4 linked regions of the Danio rerio genome follow. The protein of the gene in region 4 purifies or fractionates together with the protein of the main gene of each other region. This does not show direct contact. Links are inferred from orthologs where the notes say so. Each region holds a gene or a part of one and is shown on either strand. Other genes may lie near its edges.

What was found.
Region 1: the proteins of vti1a (region 4) and stx8 purify together in Homo sapiens (affinity purification with mass spectrometry; 3 studies listed by BioGRID and IntAct, with this or other methods). This does not show direct contact. The link is inferred for Danio rerio from reciprocal best matches to the Homo sapiens genes VTI1A and STX8.
Region 2: the proteins of vti1a (region 4) and napab purify together in Homo sapiens (affinity purification with mass spectrometry; 3 studies listed by BioGRID and IntAct, with this or other methods). This does not show direct contact. The link is inferred for Danio rerio from reciprocal best matches to the Homo sapiens genes VTI1A and NAPA.
Region 3: the proteins of vti1a (region 4) and stx6 purify together in Homo sapiens (affinity purification with mass spectrometry; 3 studies listed by BioGRID and IntAct, counting the BioPlex papers as one, with this or other methods). This does not show direct contact. The link is inferred for Danio rerio from reciprocal best matches to the Homo sapiens genes VTI1A and STX6.

What each region holds. Positions count from the first base shown.
Region 1 is NC_133181.1:25,761,295-25,765,556, forward strand, and holds the start of stx8 (syntaxin-8), read left to right. Parts: upstream 1-1,451; 5' UTR 1,452-1,503; coding exon 1,504-1,520; intron 1,521-1,905; coding exon 1,906-2,005; intron 2,006-2,978; coding exon 2,979-3,073; intron 3,074-4,262. UniProt on the Homo sapiens protein: Vesicle trafficking protein that functions in the early secretory pathway, possibly by mediating retrograde transport from cis-Golgi membranes to the ER.
Region 2 is NC_133193.1:47,646,260-47,649,827, reverse strand, and holds part of napab (N-ethylmaleimide-sensitive factor attachment protein, alpha b), read right to left. Parts: intron 3,130-3,568; coding exon 3,025-3,129; intron 2,932-3,024; coding exon 2,863-2,931; intron 1-2,862. UniProt on the Homo sapiens protein: Required for vesicular transport between the endoplasmic reticulum and the Golgi apparatus. Together with GNA12 promotes CDH5 localization to plasma membrane.
Region 3 is NC_133197.1:16,196,099-16,200,443, reverse strand, and holds the start of stx6 (syntaxin-6), read left to right. Parts: upstream 1-1,498; 5' UTR 1,499-1,645; coding exon 1,646-1,680; intron 1,681-4,149; coding exon 4,150-4,319; intron 4,320-4,345. UniProt on the Homo sapiens protein: SNARE promoting movement of transport vesicles to target membranes. Targets endosomes to the trans-Golgi network, and may therefore function in retrograde trafficking.
Region 4 is NC_133187.1:33,314,090-33,318,267, reverse strand, and holds the start of vti1a (vesicle transport through interaction with t-SNAREs homolog 1A), read left to right. Parts: upstream 1-1,365; 5' UTR 1,366-1,466; coding exon 1,467-1,560; intron 1,561-4,178. UniProt on the Homo sapiens protein: V-SNARE that mediates vesicle transport pathways through interactions with t-SNAREs on the target membrane. These interactions are proposed to mediate aspects of the specificity of vesicle trafficking and to promote fusion of the lipid bilayers.

The sequences.
Region 1 (4,262 bases), on a different chromosome or scaffold from region 4:
TATTGAATACAAGAATAATAACATCACTGCATTGAAGAAAAAATACAATAATAAAAAATAAGAAAGAAGACAGAGAGAAAAAAAAATACACAGCCTCAATCATTAAGAAAAAAAATTGTCATAAGCTTTAAGAAACTTCTTATTATTATAATTAATAAGCTTAAGAGATTCAATATTGTACGAAATTTCAACAAGGAAAGTATTAAAATAGGTATTGTTTTTAGAAACTTGTTTTTGTGTATAAAAAATTTACAGAGTAACACAAAAAACAAAATTACAATAAGATCGAGAGCATGATCATCATCCAAGAAATACAGAAATATATCTTTTATAGACAAATTTAAATCATGTTTAAAAATGGATGATAAATAAAAAATAATGTAATTCCAAAGATGTTTAATGTGAATGCAACTATAGAATAAGTGAAATAAAGTCTCTTCATGTATATTGCAGAAAGTACACAAATTAGATATATCAAAATAATTAGCAATTTGGGAATTTGTAGGATAAACATTATGCAAGATCTTAAAATGTATCTCTCCTATTTTGTTGGATATGCTGAATTTGTCAGGTAATAACCATAAAATTTACATCTTGGGGTGGTATATACAGAGGAATGTAACAATCGTCTGACATGTCTGTTGTCACATTTTTTATCAAAAAAAGACACTCCATCCAAAAAAAGTTCAGGCATAATTGTTTCCCTCTCATTAAAGTAAACAAAAGTCTTAAATAAATGCACATAACTTTGTGACAAACTCTTTAGAACACAGTTGAAGGATTAAGCTGGCAAAGAGAAGTTATACAATGTCATAAATTATTCATATTCCAAAATATTGCCATCATTTTAAAATAAGTCCAAAACAAAAACAATTCCTCTTTCAAACCACTTATCAATAAAAAGAGATTTCCCACGAGTTAAGACATTAGAGTTATTCCAAAGAATTTCTTTGTGTGGGGAAAAATTGTGCACGTAACACAATTTCCAAGCAAGTAAAGCTTGTTTGTGAAAATTACAGAGGGAAATTGGCAATTTAGAAGGGATTAAATTACATTTTAAAAGAAAGTCTAAGCCACCTAATTTATCAAATATAACATTGGGGATATGGTAGCAAATTGAATTATTACTACGGAGACATCTTTGTAGCCAATTAATTCTAAATGAGCTATGCCTAATTAAATCTTTGAAATTTAAAACCTCTAATCCACCCTCTGAGCGCCTATTAGATGAGACTGATTTTCTAATTTTATGGGTTTTATTCTTCCATATGAAGTTCAATAACACTTTATTTACATAATCAGCAATTTTGTCATTGATAAAAAGAGACATCGCAGGACAAACACAACGAGACATCGGTTACCGTATGAAGTGTGTCTATGAAAGGCCACCGTATGACGTCGTTCCTTAACAGGAAGTGGCACTGCGCAGTTTATGTTGATGTGATTTTGCTGTGAGTTTCTGCTAAAACGCTTTTTGCAAACTCGAAACAAAAGTACCGCAACATGTCAAAAGACCTTTGGTGAGTGCCTATACTATTATTATTTACTGTCATGTTAGATCTGCATGTCAGGACAGTACGTTAGACTTCAGACTTCAACACTATTAATTTAGTGCATCTGTAACTGACAGTCAGATCAGTTTAACTTTAACGCTAGACTAATTTATCTATTTTTTTTTCTACTCCCCAGGGCTCATTTTACCCTATACTTTAATTGATCAATTATGTTTTCGTTCACATATTGCTGTTTTTACGCGTCTTGTAAAGGTTGCCAAGCCGGTTAGCTGACATTTGATTGTCACATGATTGTGTTGATGACAACCTTGTGATTTAAATAACTGGAAACCCTTATCTCATGATCCCCATTGGAAGATTTTGATAAGTGTAATCTGTGTTTTGTTTACAGGTTAGAAAATTATGATGCAGCTTGTAGGCTGGCTCAAGAAATTGCAGAAAACATCCATGAAAGAAACAGACAGCAGAGGACTGGAGGAAACCCAGCCAAGGCAAGGCAGGATTTGATTGTTTACATCAGGGGTCTCAAACTCAATGGCGGGGGGCCATATTAGTGACTGACGATTCATATGAAGCACAAGAAAAAAGTGGAAATCTGATGTAATACATTCTTACACTCATACATTCTTCCCCAGTTTATCAAAACTCCTTTTAGTTTCTCGTTGTATATGTTGAAGGGGTTGTTTAAATTGTTATGAAAATACCACATTATATAAGCATAATAATCATAATTATGTCCCAATCAATTGTTGCTTTACCAGATGTTTAACCGATAGCGTAAAACATCAGAAAAGAGTTTGAATAACTTTGTTGATTGTACTGGCAATTGTTCTTCTCAATGTCCTTCTTTTTTTTTTAAACTACAAGAGAGGAAACGTTTTTATGTATGTATTCACGTTTACTTTAACATGTGCAATTTAGCCAGCAGTAAAATTTTACTAATGCACATTTTTTATACAATTCTTAATATGCATATTAGAAAAATATATTAAGGATACATTTTTGAATTGAATATTAGCAAAATAATCATATTTACACTACTAACATAACGTGTAAGCCTTGAAGAGGTGTTTGTAAAAATAGAGCACGTACAGACATATGTTTCAACTTTTACATTAGCCCCAGAAATAATCTGCATGTGCATTACTCTCAACTGCACACTGAGAGAAACAGAAAGTAACCTGCATATATTGTACAGTACTTTAAATGTCCTGTAGGTGGGGGTCAAAAACATAAGAGGCTATATGCAACTGCACAAAGATAGTGACTCTAAAAAAATATATTTTTTTGTTGGGCCGAATCTCATTATATTTTTCATGTCAATTTCGGGCTGAAAGAAAAAGGAGGAGGGTGGCCACAAATGGCCCACAGCCAGGCAGTTTGAGACCCCTGGTTTACATGAGATAGTTAACCAATCTTTTACACAATATAATAATCTCTCTTGTTGCTTTTCCATCCATGTAGATCAACATGACCCTGAGAGCATCATTACAGAAGCTAAAACAGAATATAGCACAACTCAGAGAGACTCTGAATCGAGCAGCTGTTCAACGCCATATGTATCCTTTCATTTACTTGACTGCACTTTCATTTCACAGAGGCCAAAGCGCCTTACAATTGAGGAATCATTCAGCGATTGAAGAAGCAATACAGTCAAGGAGTGCCAGTAATACAAAGGGACTGTTTGTGGCCAGAGAATTAAGTGCCAGCATTAGGAGGAGGGAGTTTATTTTTCTTTTTTTGAGAGAGAGTGAAAGGTGTTTTTACAGGTACTACATGTATAGTGTTTTTTGGAGTGATTATAAGAACCTGCTTTGTGCAAATGTGCAAAAACTGATGCAAGTGTTGTTTAAAGTGTCAGAGAGATGAAAGAGCATGTTTTCTACATGTGGTTTGTTAAGCCCACTCACCTGTGTGAGGCAAACTTCATGAATGCATAGTTTTTTTTTAAAGATATGAAGTGATTGTAAAAATGTGCCTTGAGCAAATGTGTAAACTGATGCAAGTGTTGTTTAAAGTGTCAGAGAGATGAAGGAGTGTGTTTTCTACTGGTGGTTTGTCAAGCCCACTCACCTGTGTGAGGCACACTTCATGAATGTATAGTGTTTTTTTTTAAGATATGGAGTGATTGAAAGAATGTGCCAGGTGCAAATGTGCAAACTGATGCAAGTGTTGTTTAAAGTGTCAGAGAGATGAAAGAGTGTGTTTTCTACATGTGGTTTGTTAGGCCCACTTACCTATGTGAGGCAAACTTTATGAATGCATAGTTTTTTTTAAAGATATGAAGTAATAGTAAGAATGTGCCTGGTGCAAATGTGCAAACTGATGCATGTGGTGTTTAAAGTGTCAGAGAGATGAAAGAGCGTGTTTTCTACAGGTGGTTTGTTAAGCCCACTTACCTGTGTGAGGCACACTTCATGAATGCATAGTTTTTTTTAAAGATATGAAGTGATTGTAAGAACGTGCCTGGTGCAAATGTGCAAACTGATTGAAGTGTCGGTTAGGGTTAGGTGTCAGAGAGATGAAAGACTGTGTTTTCTACAGGTGGTTTGTCAAGCCCATTCACTTGTATGAATCACACTCAGAATTGACTATGTTTTGGGGTTGTCCTGTAGTTCTGTGTAGTTGCTTCACAAAACCAAGAAAGTTGAATCCAGCAATTAGGATTATAATGACTTCTTTATGATTGTTTGTTTTGCAGTATCATTGAGAACTAAGATTTTCTAAATTAGTTTGAATCCTATATGC
Region 2 (3,568 bases), on a different chromosome or scaffold from region 4:
AACTTAATACGATTTAAGAATGCAGGAGCTGATTGCTAATTATCAGTTTTAATCTCGTGGTCTGATTCATTGCTGAATAATCAATCTGACCCATCTCTTCCACCAACGCCGATTCTACATGCTGACAGCCCGACAGCACTCAATGGCCGACTGTCAACTTGCCGTGTCCCAGCCTTAAAACAAACACTGTTTAAGACCCTTGCTCTTTATTCTCCATCTTTTTGGACAACCAATCACAATCTATAAAATTAAATAAAAGTGTTTGTTTTTTCTTGGCTCAAAGTTGTTTTTAGCAAGAAATTTTTTTTATTTTTTAGTCCCTTTGGATAAAGGCATCTGCTAAATAAATAAATGTAGTAGCATGGTCAGAGGGTTTAACAAATGAACTCGAAGCTGCGATCCAGAATATTGGGAAATTTGATTCCCTAAACAAGATCTTTTAGTTTTTTTTTTTTTTTTTACTGCATCCTATACTTTTTTATGCTGAGGTTTACAAATTTACACAGGGTGATGCATGCATTCTCTTAGGAATGTAATTGTCTGACACTTTGTCTGGAGCTTTAACTAAAGTGAAAGGACAGAACGGCAAACAAGTCAAGAGAAGAAACATTTTTCGGATACTCCCATATTTATGTTTACTAATTTTGCATTAAAGGCAATCTAAATAACATATTAATTGACATAAAAGGGAAATTACTCAACTAATACAATATAAGCCTGAAAAAAAAAAATAATTTTAGAAAAAAAACTCACTTAGAAGATTTTGCATCCGAACTCTTCATATATTTTTTATTATTAATATATAATTGTATTGTTAAATGTATTTAATTATAAATTTCTTTTTTTTTTTTTTTTTTTTGATGAGGCAAATAAAAATCTTTTCCATCTGGGCCATTAAAAAAATCCTTAACTTTTAGCCCTTGAGTCTTAAATTTCATTCTTAATGGTCTTAAAAATGTCTTAAAAAGTCTTAAATTTAACTTGGTGAAACCGGCAGAACCCCGAGTAACACCTGTCCTTTTGTATCTGTTTATGATTCAAGAGTTCACACTTAGCTGATGATTGATTATTAAGCATGTTTGGCATGCTGTCCCAAGAGAGAGCCTTAAGCTCATAAGATCCTCGAGCCCAGGGCTCCCTCCCATTGCAAGGCGAGAGGGGAGTTTGAGCTCAGGTAGATCTTGAAAACTGTGATAACTAATCAACAGATGAAATTGCTCTCAAGAAAAAACTACTTACTAGGAGCATGTCTATGACATGTCTATCTAGGAGCACAGAGAGAACATGTAAACTCCACACAGAAATGTTGACTGGCTAAGTAAGGACCATTGACGTTCTTGCTGTGAGGCGACAGTGCCAACTATTGGGCCACTGTGCTGCCGATCTAAGAAAGGAGGAGTAGGGGTGGAAGGGGGGATTCTGTAAAATGAAGATGGCTGTGTTATGTTACTTAGGGTTTTTATAGAGACTAAAGAAATGTCTGATTGGTGAATCATGGATTGGCTAATGCATGACCAGCTGTGTTCAATAATAAGCATGTGATCCTCTCGAAGTTAGTTTATAAATAAACCCCACTTATTAATAAAATTTGAATGTTTAAGGGCCTAGATTATATAATGACATTAGTGTTCTCCCTCTTCAAAAGTAACACTGGTATGATATCCGTGCCATTGCTTTTTCTGTATGCCAAACGATTTGTTTCCTCAGGACCTTCAGGCACATCAAAGAGGCCTGGATGTTTGATGCTACTTGAACAGCTGTCGCTAGATGTCAATTTTACTGTGTTAGAGAATAAATTATTTTAAGATTCTTCATGCTTAGTTAGCCATCAGTGGAAAGATGTTTATTGTACCATTCTGATAAGATGCCTGCTAGAGAGCAAGACATCCTTGAAGTAGAGAAGTATTATTTGTGTATGCATGTGTGTGTGTGTGTGTGCGTGCGCGAGTTGTGAGAAACATCCTCCTGTTGTGTCTGATCTTTGTAGGCTTGACGCCAATGTAATCATTGAAGATATTGTTCTGAACTGTACGCACACATTTGGACATTTTATAAGTTTATCTGTGCTTCAACCAATCAGGTTAAAACTCCTATATGTATGACGCAGTTAGTGATGGGTAGAATTGTTGTTGATCTGAGTGTTGAAGCTGGCTCCTGCAGATAAAACTGCAAACTATCTCCAGTAAACTTTCTTTGATCAAATATTTGACTTTGGGGTCTTCTTCAACTGACAGACCAGTTGGTTCCCCAACACCCCCCAAAATACAAAGACAATCAAAGAAAGTGAAGATCAGACCACTTGTAAAAATGAAGCAGTACTGTCATCTAATCACTCATGTTTTGACTATTTTTTTAATCTCATCAGGATGATAAAGATCCCTTTACAGACACAAAAACTTCTATTTGCATCATGGATATGCAGATAACCCACTGATCTCACTCTTTCTGATAAAACAGTGGATTTATTAATCCCGGGATGCATACGAGTAAGCGTATGGGTTTTTCTATATACAGTTGAAGTCGGGTAATTAGCCAAGTCATAGTATAATGATGATTATACAATGTATAATTTATGATAAATGTTTAAAATGGAACCATTTAAAAAAAAAATTATATATATATATATATTACTGCTGTTTTATGGTAGGCATGGGTTCGCAGTTTGAAAAAGTCAAGGTTTTATATAATTTTCTTTTTAAGGTGTTTAGGCTGAGTAAATAGTGAGTAACTTTCAATTTATCCCTTTAAGGCCTTACATTGTGGAATGGTGAATAAGAAACTACTAAAAAATCCTAAATACACACTTAGGGCAAATTAAAGGTTTGTCATTTACAAGCACTTGAACTTGAGATTTAGTTTTACCTTCATGAGTTTGCATTCACGAGAATCTGAGAAGGCTGGAAACATTTCTTCGTATTTCTGAAGGGCAAGCTGCAAGGGGTGACATCAAAGACAAAAATAATGAGGGATTGAAAACAACACAACCGCTGTATGTCAGCTTGCCCTAAACAGTGTGATTCATACCTTAGCGTTCAGCATGTCAACACAGAAGTGACAGAGAGCAGCTTTAAAGAAATAGTCCTTTGCGCTGTATTTCAGTAAAGTGCTGTCCATAGCATGTGTTGCAACCTAGAAACCCAAACAAAGAAGCAGCTTGTCAACATTTTTCCTCAAAAATGCCTTTTCCCCTCCCCCGTAATAGTAATAATATTTGGGTATTTACACGCTTCATTGGCTATTACATGTCATAATATGTGACATATTAAACAATATTTAACAGCATACAAGGTCCTCACTCTTTCATGAAGTTTGTGAAATATTGTTCAAATGTGCATTATTTGTCATAGTTCTAGTACAAGATTTCAATTTAAGATTTTAAATTAATAAATTCTTTGTTTATTTATTCAGTTTTGATTGCTTAAATTAATAGTTTATGTTGTTATTTTATCACTTTTAAGTGTCTCCGTTTGTTTTTAAGTACTTTCCAGGGCTTAAATTCATGTCTGAAATTCAAGCACTTTCAAGAAGCGTAGAAGCCCCGAGTATAATACAAATGCACCAAATAATA
Region 3 (4,345 bases), on a different chromosome or scaffold from region 4:
TGAATAATGGATGAAGAACTGTGTTTCAGTACACAGACGAGCTGCAGATACAAGGATGAAGAGAAAGCAGTGGGAAACCCATAGTTTTGACCCCTATTATTTTAGATTATCTGTAATAAAATGTATAATTGTATTAATATTAATACACACTTATTACATAAGTGTTTAATATACTTAAATAAAGTATATGTTTAAATAAATAATAAATAAAAAATACCGGTGGCACCATAATACACACAATGGTATCAGATTGTAGCTCATTCATTCATACATTTTCATTCATTTTTCTTCAGCTTAGTCACTTTATTAATCAGTGGTCACCACAGAGGAATGAACCACCAACTTATCCAGCATATGTTTTGGAACAGCTGTTGGCATTAGAGCTGCAACCCAGTACTGGGAACCCTCCATACACACTCATTCACACACATTCATTCATTTTCTTTTTGGCTTAGTCCCTTTATTAATCTGTGGTCGCCACAGCGACTGAATCACCAACTTTTCCAGCATATGTTTTACACAGCGGATGCATTTCCAGCTGCAACCCAGTACTGGGAAACATCCATACAATCTTACATTCACACACATACACTACAAACAATTTAGTTTATGAAATTCACCTAGCGCATGCCTTTGGACTTGTGGGGGAAACCGGAGTACCCGGAGGAAACCCACACGGCATGGAGAACATGTAAACTGCACACAGAAATGTCAACTGGCCCAGCAGGGACTCGAACCAGTGACCTTCTTGCTGTGAGGCAACAGAGCTAACCACTGAGCCACCATGTCGCCTGTTACATTTTTATGTTACTATACAATTATTGTACACATACGTAAAAGGCTACACACACATATATAAATGTTAGGAGGACTATATGTATGTGTGCTTTTACAATAGTTCAAAATATCTAAGATCTGAAAACATGGATTTTATTTTTTATTTACTGTGAATTTTCTGTGAATAATAATATTCTTATTTTATGTTAATTTTGGTGGCAAATCAAAAGGTAATCATTTTGAAGTCGGTGTATAATGATTCAGTTAAATTTAATTTTGAGGACGTAGGTTCAATATTTTAGTATGTTATAAATTCCTTTATTCATTTTCCTTCGACTTAGTCCCCTTATTTATTAGAGGTCACCACAGTGGAATGAACCACCAACTATACCAGCATATGTTTAACGCATAAACTATAAATTAGCTTTCAATTACGTAAACATTTACATATAGTAGATTTATTATAATAATAATGGTAAGCTACTTTACATAATATTGCCTGGATGATGAATAGACAGAATGCTGACTACCAACATATATTTAAAGCATTATCTAAATTAAACTAATATCTCGTAAGTATATTTTATATTTAGGCATTTTGCATATTAGTGGCAACGCTTTGTTCTTTTACTTCAACAAACCAAAACAACCCGTGCTGCTGTTTATCTGCCCAGGCGCGTGCGTGTGTCTAGACGCTCGAGGACCCGGATGTGATTCCGCCGGGCAATGGCGGCTGAGCGGATCCGGGCTCTGTCCCGCATGTAAACAACACGTAAAGCGCTCTCCTTTGTCCAAGTAAAGCTAAACCAGCCGCGGTCAGGAGCATGAGATTATCGCACCCCACTCATCGACTCATCTGAGCAGCAAAATGTCGATGGAAGATCCGTTTTTCGTGGTGAAAGGGTGAGTTTCAGGGCTTAGATCGGAGACTAGGGGCGAATATAAGATGTCGAATTAGACACTTTCAGGAATCAGATTGGAGTAACGTTAATTATTTTAAACTTTACGTACATTAGCTATTTGACTTGTCCTACGTTGATACTCGGCACCATTTAAAGCAGCTGTTTCGGTAAGATCGTTATCGTGTTGTCATGGCAACCATAATTATCGATTTTTTTCTCAAACGCTTCATAGCGTTAATCGATATTTGTGTCGTCTTCCCTTTAAAGTGGTATTGTTTTGGGTTGCCAGACATCTGCGTTTTGCTATAAGTTAGGATTTACAAATATGTAACGTTACCATGTTTGTCACTTTTTGGGGATACATATTATGGTATGCTTTTGGATAGTAACGTAATAGCATAGTTTTTTCCATGTCAGACATCCAAAAGCATTGCATTATCATAGTAAAACCTTTCAATTCAGTTCATCTTTTATTTCTATAGCGCTTTTACAATCTAGATTGTGTCAAAGCAGCTTCACATAGAAGATTATAGTAAATTGAAACAGTGTCAGCTTATTTTTGTGTTGAAGTTCAGTTTAGTTCAGTCCATTCAGTTCAGTGTGGTTTAATTTTTACTGCTGAGAGTTTAAACACTGAAAAGCAAATCCATCGATGCGCAGCTCCACTGCTCCCAAACCATGCAAGCCAGTGGCAAGGGAAAAAAACTTCACCAATTGGCGAAAGTGAAGAATTAAAAAAACTTGAGCGAAACCAGGCTCAGTTGAGCACGACCGTTTCTCCTGTGGCCAAACGTCTTGTGCAGAACTGCAGTCTAGGCGCTGTAATAAAGTGCGTGCATAATTATTGTTTAATTGTACCGATTTCACACTTCTTAAGTGTTGATTGTATGATATTGGAAAAATCTAACATTGCGATATTTAGTTATTCTGCGATATAATTATCTGATTCAGATGATTCTGCAGAAAAGTGCATCTGCAATAATTATAATAAACTATCCACAAGCATAGATCAAACAATAAAAAAAGATAAATAAACAGTGTTTTATCATTTTTACGTCTAACGTTAACTTACAAATGGTAAAATTTTTTATGCCTCTGGTTTTAAAATCCTACTGTCCAAAAAAACATGAAAATGATAGATTATACTACAGACTCAACATTGCACAACCTGCGATGTGACTATTGCGAATGACTACATTGCGATATTGATGCTGAAACGATATATTGTGCAGCCCTAGTATTGATATTGTGTATAATCATTAATAAGTTACGTGTAATTTTTTAACAAGCACTGGGGGTGTAAGATAATTATATTTAGATGTGCATATTTATGAAGCAGGTTTATTTTGACATGTCAAAACGAAGGGACCAAAAGGAGGTGTAACATTGGGGAGGAAAAAAAAAAAAAAAAATATATATATATATATATATATATATATATATATATATATATATATATATATATATATATATATATATATGTATGTATGTATGTATGTATGTATATATATATATATATATATATATATATATATATATATATATATATATATATATATATATATATATATATATATATTTTCCCAATGTTACACCTCCTTTTTGGGCCCTTCGTTTTGTATATATATTAAACGACCAAAAGAAGATCACAGCATTAATAAACCTGTAAAATTAAGGTATTACTATTGAACGACAAATACTAACTAGGGCAGGAGGAAGACAGATACATAAGCTGTCCTTAAAAGAAATCAGTATTGTATAACACTTCAGCTATTGGTTTTTATAAAGTGGGGATTTATATTATTGGGGGTTATCTATTGTAGTTTCTCATCAAATATTCTGACCAATCAAATACTCTCTAGTGTCTGACATACCCACCCCCCTCAAGATGCTTTTCATTTGCTTTATCCATTGATGCATCTTTTTTGAGATCAACCACTCTCACTGGCAGAGCTGTGATTAAAAACGAAACACTCTTGGATGTTTTTTATAAAGGAGAGGGGCTACTCTATGTCCCACCCTGTCTTCATGAATTTTATTTCAGATTACAACGAAGAAATCAAATTCAAAATGCTAATTTTAAAGCACTTCACAGCACCTTTAATTTATCACATTTTTTATAGGATCGCATCCATTATTTTTGACTTTTTAGTGAGAGTTGCATCTTTTTTATGGGCTATTTTCCTGCTTAATGATTATACACATCAGACAGTCTATTAATTTTCAATTTAATAATAATTATTCTAAATAATAATACTAATAACACTTATTAATAATAAATTACAAGTAAAATATTTTAGTATTTGGCTAAGAACGATGTATTTGAGAACTGGTCAAATTCTCTTTGGAAAAAAACAATTATGATCATATGTTTATAATTTTCATAATTATCTGCACACTCTGTAGTATTCTTGTCTACATTGTAGTAGGTCAATTAACCTTGAGGCTTAATTGAATGTATTTGTCTTAGAGAGGTGCAGAAGGCTGTAAACACAGCTCAAGGTCTTCATCAGAGATGGATAGAGCTGCTACAGGACGCGGGTGGAGCCAGCAAGGAGGAAGTGGACTGGACCACCAACGAATTACGAAACAGTTTGAGGTCCATTGAATGGGACTTGGAGGACTTGGATGAGACTATCAATATCCTTTTAGCTTAGTCGTCATTG
Region 4 (4,178 bases):
CTTAGGCCCATTATTATTCTGGGGTCACCACAGCGTAATGAACCACAAACTTATCCAGCATATGTTTTACGCAGTAGATACCCTTTCAGCCGCAACCTATCACTGGGAATACTCTCATTCACAGACATACACTATGGCCAATTTAGCTTATTCATTTCACCTGTACCAAATGTCTTTGGACTTGTGGGGGAAACTGGAGCACCCAGAGAGGAAACCCAGGCCAACACGTGGAGAACATGCAAACTCCACACAGAAATGCCAACTGACCTAGCTGAGGCTCAAACCAGTGACCTTCTTGCTGTGAAGCGATCGTATTTTAATAAATTTTAACATAAATTACATTAAATTGAGGTGAATGACAACAGAACATTATTTAATTTCATGAACGTTATCTAAAACCCGAAAGTAGACACTTGCATTTAGTGTTTTCTAATATGTATATAAATTAAATTTTTTTTGTTTATTTCATTTTTAATGCCGACACCAAAACTAGACATGTCAGACACATCAATTTATGATTTACTTCACTATCTATATGCCTTCTAGAGCTAATTTGTTTAGCATTGACTGCCATTATGACAAAACTGAATCTATTGTAAACGAAAACTACAATTATAAAGTGATGAATACAATGGGTAATGTTACCTGTCAAATATTGTGCTTCAGTGGCAGCACACCTTGTTTCCAAGGCACACCCAAACTTTGTTTCTATGCTCATGTGTTGCATAATTTAGTTTATATTTTACTACTTCCACTATTTTTGGTGCAACACGCAAGGTTAAAGGTTAAAGGCAAAAGCGCACGATGTTTAAACGCCATAAAAAATAACAGTCTGCTGTCAGTCTGCATGAAGTAAATCAGTCCAGCTCAAATACTAAACAAACTTAAATCCAACCAAAAGGCGGTATAATTCAATTTTATGAGGTAAAATATTGAAGTCTTAACTGTAGAAATGACCTTATCTATAACTAGCAATCTATATGATAGCAGACCTTAACCAATGACACATGCTTCAAGGCAAAAAAACAAGGTTACTAACACATGTAAGACGTCATTTATCTTTCATTATGACCCATGTATCGTTAATTGTACTCTATACTGAAATGAAAAATTAATCGTTGACACATACTGTACCTCGACTACTGTTTCCTCGTGCGGTCAGAGTCCAAGAAAAATGACAGCGCCGCTTAATATGACCCAGTGAACGCGCTATTTAGCCAATCGTAATACTGTCAAAGCTTAAATCCGTTTTCAAAAATAACTACACGCAATTCAACGAGGAAGACCAAACAATTAATCGCACGACTCACCCCACAGCGGAACCATTGACAGGAAGAAATCGTGAACAAATTCCCGTGACACCACCCGGAAGTGACGCGGACGTCAATAAGAAGCAGACACAAGCAACAGTGTGTAACGCAGCTCAGTTTATCGCTCTTTTAATCTTTTAAAACTAAAAATACAACATGTCTTCAGATTTTGAAGCGTACGAACAGGACTTTGGGACCCTCACCGCTGAAATAACCAACAAAATCGGACGAATACCCAAATTAGCCGGTGGTAAGTGGATGTTAGATGAGCTGCTTAGCCAAAACATTGGTGTTAGAGAGACATAAACAACTCGTTTAATCATTTATTTATGCAGCTTGTGTGTGTGGTCGGTGTATTATTTAGAAATGGCCCATATCATTTGGTAAAGAAGCTATAGTTCGGGATGGTCGTGGTGTCAGATGTCCAGTATCACATGAGTCTGAGGAGACAGGATTTAGGTGACATGGGTCTTGGATGTCATCTTGTTTTTCTTAGATTTATTAATGTTATATTGGAATTAAGGGTTTTTAAATAAATAAAAAAAGATTTATTTTTATATACCAACGTAGAAAAGAATACTATCGAGTGAGACTAAACTAATTCCTTCATGGTTTTTCAGTGTTGACAATTTAATTTACTGTTTGATTTTAAGCATTGTGATTGATTGGTTTATTGTTTCCTGCATAATGAATTATACTGACATAAAATGCCATAATGCACCAGTTATAGGAGGAGATAATAAAGCAAGTTTTGATAAAAATAAAATTTGTGTACACTTAGTCAGGAGGAGTCTTTAACTTTTTTCAGGCCAGAGCCTGCGAGATGAAGTGACATATTGCAGAGGTTTTTTTATTTTTAAATGCTGTGTGGGCCACCAAAACTTTGCCCTTATCTCTATGTTATACCTATTGTTAGGGTCAGGCTATTTCCAGCTCCAATTTATCATCTAGTAGACATTTACGTTAAACACAATAGCTGGAATGTACCTGTTATAATGTTACCTGTTATACATTTAATAGCTTTGGCTTCAAAATAAATACTTGAAAAGGACTGGGTGTTAAAAACAATATGGCAGAAAAATTTAATGTAAAGTTGGTAAAACTGCTATCAAGCTATCAAATATGGGAGATGGATAATTCACCTCACAGCCACACAATCTGTATGTACATCAGGTTTATTTTTAAATCTGACTTAAGTTATATATTGTTGTTCTCATAAGAACTATTAAAGACATGCAAAAAGACATTCAAGCTAAAACCATTCTAATAGTATGCAAAGCACAACAGCCGCCTGTTTTCCCATTTATTATATTTATAGATCATGGAAATTCAGGTTTAGTAAGTAAAAATCTGGGAATTTGGCTTTCAATGGGAACCCTGATGATTTATATTGATTAAATGTTATTTTAATTTTGCATTTTAATTGATCATTTATTATTTATTAACTTGTTTGTTAGAATTATTATTATTATTATTATTAAGCCTACATTTTCATGTTTGTATATTCAAAAATGCCTAACAAGATCTCAAACTGTTACAAATGCATATTCTTAAGATGCTGCTCACCATGCACACATTTTATAGTCATATTATTTCTCATTGTTATTAATTGTAATATTTATTATTATAATATTATTCTATAATATTTATTATAATATGTTTATTGTCATCAACAGTTATTGATGTTTAATTTTTTTGTGAGAATTATGCTTAATTTTTCTTAGAGTTTTTGTTTGAAAACATTTCATGAACAGCAATTATTTGACAATATATTTTTAAATACATTTTCTTTTCTGTTTAAGGTTACTATTGATTATTGTAAGGCCTCATTTGTGAATAAATGTTTTTTATACTGCATATACGCTTTTAAAAATGAAAAAGCATCTGAAACTCTTTTTGATATTAATAATAGGGAGAAGCATTATTTGATCACCAAATCAACATGCTAGAATAACTTCTAAAGGATCATGTGACTCTAAAGAGTGGATCAACAATGCTGAAATTTCACTTTGGCCTTCACGGAAATAGGTTACATTCAAAAATATTTTAGCATAGAAAACTGCTATTTTAATGTATAAGACTGTTTTTCAATATTAGTGAATTTACTGCATTTTCCAAATAAATGGAGCCTTGGAGAGCATATCAAAGACTGAAAATTCCAAATAGATGAAATATCAATATATTACAATGTGTTTTGGTTTTGTTTATATTTTGGTTTTTTTTTTCCCCATTTTCTCTAGTCTAAACCCAATCTGGTAGTCAAACAATTAATATTGGTGTCCCTGTAGTAACTTCATGGAGCCCCTAGAGGTCATGGATTCCTGATGTTTTTCTAACTTATTTGGACATCAGATGCTGTGTGTACTGCATAATATATAATGGATGTATGTGTTCATAGACTATAGGCAATTTCAATATCAATATCAATATGTCTGCACTAAACACAACTTCATCACAAATTTCTTACACTTAGGGTTGCAAGTTATTGTAAGTTGTCATCTGCATCTGTAAACCTACTGTCAATACACCTGTTGTTGTGTTGTGGTTTTATTGCTCAAGTCAGACAAACTTGTTTCCATGAGAACAATGTTATTATGAGATACAAATGATTGCAGATAAGTCAGAGCTCATTATTTAAAAATATCATCAACCTTGTATATATTTTGACTCATCTTTTTTGTCTTTTATAAATGCATCCAAAACAATATAGCCAATGTTAAACGTTAATATTTTCCTGAGTACTTTTACTATATATTCTACTATTTTGGTTATTTTTTACATTTGTTTATTAAAACACAGCTTTTTATTTTTCCAGTCTAGTTGGAAAAAGAACAGAACCAGTTATGATTAACAGTTTTATGTCCCTCT